2 linked regions of the Arabidopsis thaliana genome follow. The protein of the gene in region 1 interacts with the protein of each later gene in a pairwise test. Each region holds a gene or a part of one and is shown in the gene's direction. Other genes may lie near its edges.

Region 1 (4,439 bases):
GACTAGATTTTCTGTTTCCGATCAAAACTATTGTTTTAAGACTTTAAGTAGTCCCATACTAAAAAAAAAAAAAAAAAAAAAAAAGTAGTCCCTTACTACATCAAATTCGTCTTCCTTGACGGCAGTTCTACTGTTTACCTTTCTAACAATTTGATTAGAAAATACTGTTAGATTATTATAAGTGGTTGGTTTGTAACTGAACACGGCTTACACACAGAACAAAAATCAAACTTGAGGTTATAATGAATAACTACATAAACTCACATGTGGCATAATGCATGCTCGAAATAATTTGGGAGAGTGGGATCCATGAGATGCTAATGAGGCTGGGATATTTTAGGACAAATGAAACAGCTGGTTTCCATCTATTAATAACCAGGATCTTTCTTGTCTCCTCTTCCACCTTGTCTTGAAGTTGCATGAGCTGTCCTAGGCCTATCTTTTAACTATGTCCACTCCACTTCACTCATCCTATCCACTTAGCTTATCCCCATTATTAAATGTGTCTCCCTTGGTTTTACTATTTATCTTTATCATATTTTGATTGAAAAATATCGTGAGGTTAGTTTCTAGAAGTTTTACCCGATGACAATCGAAATTGCCAAAACAACAAAAGAAACTGATAAGATATTTTCTCTGTCCAAGTGAATGAGAGTGAATTCCCAATATTTTTAAATGATGTTTGTATTCTTGTTCTCTTTTTTTTTTCATTTAACTGTTATGGGATATGTACGTAATTTTCCGCAATTCTAATGTATACTATAACAATATGATTTTCATGCTTAGACTGCGTTAGAAAGTTCGGTTATAATACTGACAACATTTGTGTGTTCATTGATACTGCGAACATCTTCACAAACATATTGATAAATAATCTCTTCTCTTGCATGAGATTATATTATTTGAGTACATGTACACGTTCTTATTTGCCGAATGTTCTTTGTTGCCACCATAAAGTTTTATTGGGCCAAAACTAATAGAAACCACACATAATCATTTCGTTGTTTTGTGTTTTTGTCAAACAAATCACACATAATTCAACGACAAACTTTCTAATTTGAGCAACCTCTTTATCTCCTTGAAAGTTTCTATGGAGAATTCTACCGATTAGTCGACTCATGACTATTCATCCATTATCACAATTGACAAATCCAGATATTTTGATCAAATATCATTTGATTTTTTTGTTCTATCTCGAAGCAGATACCAGTGTACCATAAGAAAAAAATGCTTCATTAGTCATCTTCAAATCACATGCAAAAATTTGGAAGAAAACTGAAAACAATTTGCATGATAGATCATAATGTTCAAGCAAAAATAAATAAATCCAAATGTGATAAAATGTATAGATATTCACATTGATCTTACTAGTAATATTATATATTTTCTAAAGTTAATTAAAATGTTCTATGTATTTTTTTATATATGAAACACATCATATAAAAGAAAATTGGAATGTAAATTCCAGATCTTGATCCATATAAATATATCAAGATTTATATCGATCAAGATCATATTGGGATCCGTTTTAGACTAATCAAGATTTTACCATTCATATTTCTTGGATATCTGAAATTATAAAGCGCGTCAGAAAATCTTCTACAAGACACTCCCAACATTAAAAAGCCAGAGAAATGATTTGCACACACTCGCTAGTTATATACATACAAAGCATAAAGTTCTGTCACGTGTAAAAGAGCTTGTGAAACATTACAGCAAACCAAACTATTTGACTAAAGATGAAAACAACACCTCTCCCGAGGCTGCATTATTTAGTAAGTCTTCTTTGTTTTTTTCTTTCTTCCAAGATTAAAGAAGACAGACCCAATTATGTAAGGGCAGTCTCTCCTATAAACCTAACTAGTTCATTGGAAAAAACAAGAGAGAAAAAAAAACGATTACTGCTGAGATCTACCATTTCTAAACCTCAACCCATGAATCCTTCTAACAATCCTAAAAAGACAAGGCACCAGAGTCATATGCCTCAAGAAAGAGATGAAACGAAGAAGGAGAAGAAGCTTCTCCACCGCAACATCGAACGACAAAGAAGACAAGAAATGGCGATCCTTTTCGCCTCTCTTCGTAGTCAGCTACCTCTAAAATACATCAAGGTACATATATTTTACTCCAATAGTCTCATTGAAGTCCCAATCTTCCTATCAAGTTCATTGATGGGAGATTTTTGTTCTCTAGGGTTTTAGTTTTCTCAGGCTCTTTCTTCGCAGGGAAAGAGAGCCATGTCAGATCATGTAAACGGAGCAGTAAGTTTCATCAAAGACACGCAAACAAGGATAAAAGATCTCTCCGCAAGAAGAGACGAGCTAAAGCGAGAGATTGGTGACCCTACTAGTCTAACTGGATCCGGATCCGGATCTGGATCAAGTAGATCGGAACCAGCTAGTGTCATGGTGCAACCGTGTGTGAGCGGCTTCGAGGTGGTTGTGAGCAGCTTAGCATCAGGTCTCGAGGCTTGGCCACTCTCAAGAGTTCTTGAAGTTCTTCACGGGCAAGGACTTGAAGTCATCAGCTCTTTAACAGCACGAGTCAACGAGAGGCTCATGTACACTATACAAGTCGAGGTACGGTTACATATTTGGAGTTATTGTAGAGTTTTTTAGTGTAAGCTTATCTATTGTGTAAATATGCTTATTCTTATGTATCCATATATATGATATATCCACAGGTAAATAGCTTTGATTGCTTCGACTTAGCTTGGTTGCAGCAGAAGCTAATTGAGCAGTTAGTACTTTCCACGACTAGGCACTGAAAAAACTAACATTTGTCATAAGAATATGTTCATTGAATGATGCTTTTGTCCCAATCTCTTTGTTTTAGTGTCCGTAAGGGTGTGTTCTTTTGGTCCTTCACTACTTGGAGTGATTTTTTTTTTTTTTTTTGTAAAAATGATCTGGTTGATTAGATTGAATTAGCAAATTCTAAACTTTCATGCATGCTTCTTTATATAGGAGAATCTTTTGATCACCAACAAAACAAAAATATAGTGATGCGCCTGATTTCTTTATACATTTTTGAATATATATATTCATCAATCGATGATAAAGACTAGAGTCTCATCGGTGTCTTTTTATACTTCATATGCATGAACCATAGTTGATAGATATTTTGAACATAGCATACATACACTTCTCTGAGACTTACCAATGAAGATATTTTATGAGAGGAGCATGGTAATGCAGGTTAAATAATGGAGCAGCTGCCATTCAACATTAGTAGATATCTTGTGAGTTTTACTGACTAAATTCGTACGACATTGACCTATAGCTAGGAACAAACACTGATCAAAAGAAACTTTCATTTGATTAACCCGCATATATATTAGTAGATAATATGGCATGCACATAATTTGATTTGACTCACGGTTTTCAAGTTTTCTAATCATGCCATATTTTGTTCATAAATGAAATTACATGACATTACTGAAATATATGGAAAGGAATACTGAAAACGTTTTTTTGGGTTAAGAAGAAGAAGAAAGTACATTCAAATATTCATCTATATTTTATAGTGACGTATATATAACTCTAGGTTTCTTTTGCCTCTTCGGCCTCAACCAGAAGCACTGAAGCACTGAAGCACATAAACAGTATCGCATAACTTCGGTCATATATATTTTGCCGTTGAATAATTTTTCTTAGATTTATGTAAAATTATGGCTTAAATACATCTTAATTATATAAAAATTAGCGAGGATGGCAGTCGAATGTTAAAGCAATAAAGATACGATTGAGTGGTTGAGATCTCCCTAATATACTTTTGATTTAATTATTGTTAGTTAATGGTTAAGTACAAAGATGCTGTCCAACGAATTCATGATCTTCAAATTGGATTATGTTCTAATAAAGACAGCCTAATTAGACCAATACTTAAATCAATTGTTGGTGATGCGTGGTTAAATAATATTCTGATGACAAAAAAACATAATTTTATTTTTTAAAAGTCCCTTTTCCAGAAGAAAAAAAGTTATAAGAAAAAGTTTAGCATATCCGAATTGACTAGTTCTATCTATAATTCAAGTGGATGACCGTAAAGCTTAAAAGAAAATGTCTATGCCCGATCCCTAAATTTCGAATTTATTTATAACAAAAAATTTGGTAAACTATTTATTTATTAATAATAAATTGGTCACATATATTCCGATTTTTAGTTCGAGAAGTACCCTTTTATGAATCTGAAATCCAATTATCGAGGGCACGATTTAAGACAGCTCACCTAATCATAAATAGTGGAAGAAAAAAGCTCTAATCTTACGTATGTATGAGTTTCTGGCTTTAGAAGAGTTAATTAACCTAAAGTTATCTAGTTGAGTGTTGTGTGAGTGTGAGGTTTGGCCCGTTTCTGATGCTGATTAGTTGGCATACATATCATTATCCGCATGTACTACCAAAAAATATCCGCTTGTACTATGGTCAGCTTTCGAA
Region 2 (6,346 bases), on another chromosome or scaffold:
TGTTAATTTTACCATTTGTTTTCACCCAAAAAAAACCACCTGAATTTCTTGAACAAATTCACAAGGAAATTAAATTTGTTTTCTGGGTTTTAATTTGTAACAAAATATCACCTGGTTTTATTAAACTAGTTCCATTAGTTAAAATTAAAAATTGCCGGTATTGTTTTGTTAAATATTTTATTTTGATAAAATCCTCTGATCTCTATCATTCGAAGTCAAAGCTGTTTTGTTCACGTAAAACTGCATGTGTGATCCTATATATTGTATATTGATAAATACGTTTAACAATGACAATCTAGTGAGATAGCTCATGTCACATCGACCTATGATCAATGGATTACTTCAGTTTGATAATATGTTTGTATGTGATCACGAATTATATATTATATACCAATCGATTTTTCATTGTTTTATGTACTATAATTTGATTTCAGCTCACTACATATAATATTTAAACGTGACATGTTCATCTTTTTTCGTCGTCGATCGACATATCAACTATAAGATTAGTCGGTTGTACGTATAAATCTTGACCTTTTACCATGGATTTGTCCTATAAAAGCTTACTAGAGACTAGAGACCAGAACGCATTAATATTATTAGGTCTATCTTCTATCACTTCATAGTGTTTCTTTAACACTCATGTTTTGCAAGTGTCGTTTTGTACTATTGGAAAAGATTATTGTTATAAAAAAAAAAATGAAACAAAACTCTAAAAAATCAGTTAATCTTAGTTATAAAACATTATCCTGCTAGAAATCATTGCAACTTTAATAAAGTATTGAGTCTTGAATCGTTATGTCCACTTCGTTTATTTTATATAAAAGTTTGTCAACTAATTAATAGCTGATTTTTTTTTTCTTTTAAGAGAAAGAAGATCTCGAAATGAGAATTAAAGATAAGATATATGGTTAGGTAGCGAGTAGAAGACCAAAGCAAGAAACTACGACCACGACATCTTGCACATAAGAAAAAAAAAAAGTAGTTCAATTTCATTTTCGCTTTGGTCCACTTTATTATTTAACAAAAAATAATATCTAATAAATTACATTAATATAACAGTCCGTGTTAGACTAAGACACGAAGCCTCCCCCACTAAATCGACGCAAATAAAAATAAACAAATGGTGGGGTTAAGAGTTTAATTCGAGCTGTGGAATTTTTTTATAAATATACAAAAATAATAATATTTAAAATAATATATATTACGATAACAAATTTTTATGTCAATCAATTATATTTTAAGAATCTTCTAAAATCAAATATTATTGAACTAATAATTTGAATAATAATTTTAATTCCACTATTATTGAAAATATTCATATCATTAGTTTTTAAGGGTGTATAGTGAAAAAATTCCTCAATTTCAAATATGTTAATACAAATTTCCCTTTTTAAAAATTATCATGAAATTGGACAAACTATATTTATATTGAAAAAGATATATAAACTTATACAACACAAATTGTAAACAAAAATAACATGATGTTCTTCAATAAAATTATAAATCATCAAACCTAAACTCTAAAATTGTCAAAGTAAAAAACCTAAATTGACGAATTCTAATTTATTATAGCGAAATTCTCTGATGTTTGTATGATGTCGAAGTTGATTATGAGAGATTTTGTAAAATTTTGTGTTTTAATTTTAACCATAGTTTATCTAATTTTTACGACAATGTAGAAAGACAGGATTAAGATATTTGAAAAATTGAAGTTTTTTTTTATAAAATATATAATTGAATAATTTCTTATAGAATTTTAGAAAAAAATTTTAGATAAAATTAAAAAACACAAATGTAATTCTTTTATGTAGAATTTGGGGAACCAGACTACAACAAATCATAAATTTCTCTAAATTTACCTAAAATCATATTAAAAATTAATAAATCATTATGAATCTTAAATTACTTAAAATATAAATTTGAAAATACTCCTCTAACTCAGAGATCAATTTTTTCTAATGCCTCGTGATTTTTTTGCATCTTGTAGCTTAGTCACCTATATATATTTTTAGTGGTAACAAGATTCTCTGTTAAAAAAATAATAAAAATTAAAAATAATAATAGTTTATTTTATGGGAAAAGACGCGAGTGGCTCCCACCAGCCTCAACTTTGCCCACGTGGAACCAGCCATATGCGCGGCGTTTAGACAACAAAAAAAAAGCGTGTTGTTTCTTTCTCTCTCTAGAAAGTCAAAAAAAGGAGACAGACAACCAAACACTGCCTTGTCACATCTCTCTCTCTCTTGCTTTTGGCGAGTAACGAGTAAGTCCATTTTCCATGTGCCCACTGTGTCTTCTCTCCTTACACGCCACCATCTCCTCCACCTCCTCCTCCCTCCCTTCTCCAATTCCCAATTCTCCTCCAAACCCTAGGGTTAGGGTTTCCACGATTGCTTCACCTTCCCTTCTTTTTTTAAAACCTCAGATCTTCCGCTTCCTCGTTCTTGTCTTTTTGTTGAGCTGAGAAGCAAAAAAAAAGTGTTCTTTGGCTTCACGAGGAGCCAACAACGAATCGATGCCGGAAATCGATCTTATGAGAGTCGATCATTGTGTTTCCGATGTTAAATTAGATGATTCTTCTTCTTCTCCTCCGGGATTCTTCGATGGTGGTGGTGTTCCGTTAGATTCGGATGTGAAGTTAGACGAAGAAGATTCCGATTCTTTGAAGAAGAGAGGTAGACGTGGTCGTCCGCCGAGAATTTTAGCTAAAGCTTCTTCGCCTCCGATTTCGAGGAAGAGAAGAGAAGATGAAGATGTTTGCTTTGTTTGCTTCGATGGTGGTAGTCTTGTTCTCTGCGATCGTAGGTTAGTGAAGTTTTGAGCTTAGACAAGTTACTCTCCCAGCTCCATTACATTCCTACTTGTAAAAATAGAAACTTTTACTTGTGACTGATGATGATTCTTTCTTAATTTGTCAGGGGATGTCCAAAGGCTTATCACCCAGCTTGTGTTAAGCGTACTGAAGCATTCTTCAGATCGAGATCTAAATGGAATTGTGGTAAGTTGTTCAATTTTTATCTGTTTTCTCTTCTTTGAGATGGTTCATAGTGATGAGGATGGTTTTTTGGTTTCAGGTTGGCACATATGTACTACTTGTCAAAAGGATTCGTTCTACATGTGTTATACTTGTCCGTATTCAGTTTGTAAGAGGTGTGTTAGAAGCTCAGAGTATGTAGTTGTAAGGGAGAACAAAGGATTCTGTGGAATTTGTATGAAGACTATAATGCTTATTGAGAATGCAGCTGAAGCTAACAAAGAAAAGGTATGAGAATCCTGTCTACATTTTGTTACTTTCTCTTACTCGCAGTACTACAAGGTTATTTGTGGAACTTGAGGTCTGTTCTTGTAATGTCGCTTTGTTTTTTTAATGTGGATTCTTTCTTCTAGCTAAATGTATTACATGTACATTTTCTAGGTTCAGGTTGATTTTGATGATCAAGGCAGCTGGGAGTATCTTTTTAAGATTTACTGGGTTTCTCTTAAAGAAAAGCTAGGTTTATCGTTAGATGATCTTACCAAAGCAAAAAATCCATGGAAATCTTCTTCTTCTACTGCCGCTAAGCGAAGAACTACTAGTCGGGTTCATGAAAAGGATGATGGAAATTCTCCTGGGGTTATGAAAATACGTCGTGCTAAAGTAAGGAAAATGGATGCTGTTTCTGTGAGTAATTTGGGTCCTTCTTTGGATTCAAACTGTTCTTTGGGTGACAGACTTCCACAATTGACTAGTGCTGCTACTTGGGCAACCAATGAGCTTTTGGACTTTGTGGGGTATATGAAAAACGGTGATATTTCTGTCTTATCAAAGTATGATGTCCAAACTCTCGTGCTAGAGTATGTGAGACGGAATAATCTACAAAACTCTCCTCAGAATTCTGAAATAATGTGTGACTCCAAGCTTATGAGATTGTTTGGAAAGGAGCGAGTGGACAACTTGGAAATGTTAAAGCTTCTTGATTCTCACTTCATCGATCAAGTTAGGTCTCCAGTCACAGATAATTCAGCCGGAGGAGTCACTGAAACTATGTCTTACCAGGTTAATGCGGGCAGAAGCTGTGATAGGTTAAATACATCTGAACAGCATCAAGAAGGGGAATCACAGCAATTGAACGGGCACAGTATTCAAGTTAGACCTTCCAGTTCTGATAGCAGAAACCATGCAGTTGTAAAACCTGACACAAGTGCCACTCTGTCCAATAAGCCAATTGATGGTTTGGATACAAATATGGTATGGTTATATGGAGATCCAGATGGGAAGATTCATGGACCATTTTCGTTATATAACCTGCGACAATGGAATTCAAGCGGGCATTTCCCACCAGAGCTGAGAATATGGAGGTTGGGTGAACAGCAACACAGCTCCATACTTTTGACTGACGCATTAAATGGGCAGTTCCATAAAACAGGGTTATTACAGAATCATTCTATCCCCAAGCAGGAAGTGACAGCTACTATAGCTAACGATCAAAACAGGTCTGTGGCTGTTCCTAAAATAGAGAGTAGAATACTTGACTTCAGCCCCAACTCAGTGTGCACTGACCAGAGTGTTATTTCTAGCAGTAACAGTGTCATCACAAGGAGCTCGGATGTGAGTAACAAAAGCGGAAACAATTGTAGCCACGCCGTGCCATTGGATTTTTCTCTTTCTAATGAAAGGGATACTGTGGGTTTTATCTCTCTCTGGGACAAAAGAAAAGTTGAAAGTTCTTTGCTTGTACAAAGCCCAATAAGCTGTTCACTCTCGCTGGCTACATTACCTAGAAACTCAAACTGCTCTCTGCCACCACATGAAAGATGGAGTGCTGGTCAGACAGATGGAAACAGTGCAGCAACGACTGCTTGCAATCAAAACGGTAGTCTTAGCGGCTCAGCTGAGAAACAAGTCACGGCTACAGTCCAGTCATGTGGACAGAACTGGAATGCTGCAACTCCAAGCAGTGCTTCAAATGTGTGGGATTCGAACTCGGGTTTGACGTCTTTCCCAGACAATCAAGAAATAGACTTTTTAGATCTCTTTAGTCCAACTTTCAAATTCAACTTTGCATCTACTACCACTGATTGGCAACCCATTGTGGCTGGACCTGACGAATGCGACGAATCAGTCTCAGATCTTTTGGCAGAAGTGGAAGCCATGGAGTCCCAAAAACGTCTTCCTTCTCCAACTTCGACATTCCGTGGTCCTGAAGAATTATTAATCCGGCACTCAATAAACGATAGCTTCAGTCCCGCAGAAGGACATAGCCCAGCACTAGATGTAAGCAAAGGTGACTCCATGAGCTCCACAAACGATCTTCAAATGCATTCACGATCTAACAGCACCGTGCATTTTTAGTCGTGGGCTCGGGTTCACATAGAGAGAAATCATAACCTGGGGCACAGGTTACCATAGATCATCCAATGTCCTAGATTCGTCTGATCGATGGTGGACTATGCCCTCTTTCTTCTCTTTTTTTTTGCAGGATTATTACAGAACATAAATAAATGGCAGAATCATCAGCAAAAATGAAAAAAAACGAGTGGTGCATATGTAGAAGATGTTTCTTCGCGGTATTTTTGACTGCACCCATTGTTTTCTTCAGTATTTAGGTTTTGTAACGTTGTCCTGTGTTAAGATTTGCACAGACATACCCAACTTCTGTATCTTTTTTTTTTACATTGTTTGTACTTAGGAACAAGTATAAAAATGGGAAGAAATTGTTGTCCATGGATGTAATCAAAACATTTGTAGGGATCATATCATCTTATTATTCTATATATATGATAATGATAGTGTAACGTTTCATTCTTTTTGTTTTGAATGTTTCAAATCTATTTATATCATGACAAGTGTAGGCTCCAGTTTATTCTACTTGTTTTTGGAAAATGAGACGAACTCTATTGATCGTTTCTGGATTTGGAAACTTTTTGTTGTTTCTTCGATTTCGTTTTTGTTGATCTGAGTTGATGGTGGAAGCTACGTCAAATTTGACGCCGTCGCAGAGATACGCGGCAAGCGCTTTGTTTGCAATCGCGCTTAACCAAGCGCAGATCAGCCAGTCAAAGCCATTGGGAATCCCGGCCACCGGAAGTACCGGAGAGCCAATCAGCAGCGACAGTGATCCTATCTCCGATGAGGCGGATCTCTGGGTCCACGAAGTTTCCGGCCTCCTCCGTCCTGTTCTCAGGTGATCTTGAAATCATCTGGAATAGTCATGTTCATATGCGTCTCTGTGTGTGTAATGTATACATTTTGAGCTGTCTCTGTAATTTGCTTTCAGATGTCTTCAGATTGATTCATCAGCTTGGCATGGCCTTGAAGAGATAGCTGCTTCTACTCAGGCTAAGGATCACATCGGTGCGGTAT

What was found.
Region 2: the proteins of AT5G51790 (region 1) and AT2G18090 interact in a two-hybrid assay, tested with the Arabidopsis thaliana proteins (one large-scale study listed by BioGRID).

What each region holds. Positions count from the first base shown.
Region 1 is NC_003076.8:21,037,828-21,042,266, forward strand, and holds AT5G51790 (basic helix-loop-helix (bHLH) DNA-binding superfamily protein), read left to right. Parts: upstream 1-1,705; 5' UTR 1,706-1,739; coding exon 1,740-2,111; intron 2,112-2,225; coding exon 2,226-2,579; coding exon of another isoform or gene 2,580-2,618; exon of another isoform or gene 2,619-2,683; coding exon 2,684-2,767; 3' UTR 2,768-3,791; downstream 3,792-4,439.
Region 2 is NC_003071.7:7,861,983-7,868,328, forward strand, and holds AT2G18090 (PHD finger family protein / SWIB complex BAF60b domain-containing protein / GYF domain-containing protein), read left to right. Parts: upstream 1-2,211; 5' UTR 2,212-2,518; coding exon 2,519-2,808; intron 2,809-2,921; coding exon 2,922-3,001; intron 3,002-3,077; coding exon 3,078-3,265; intron 3,266-3,418; coding exon 3,419-5,335; 3' UTR 5,336-5,838; downstream 5,839-6,346. Other genes in the region: AT2G18100 (transmembrane/coiled-coil protein (DUF726)), read left to right, coding at 5,947-6,167, 6,261-6,342.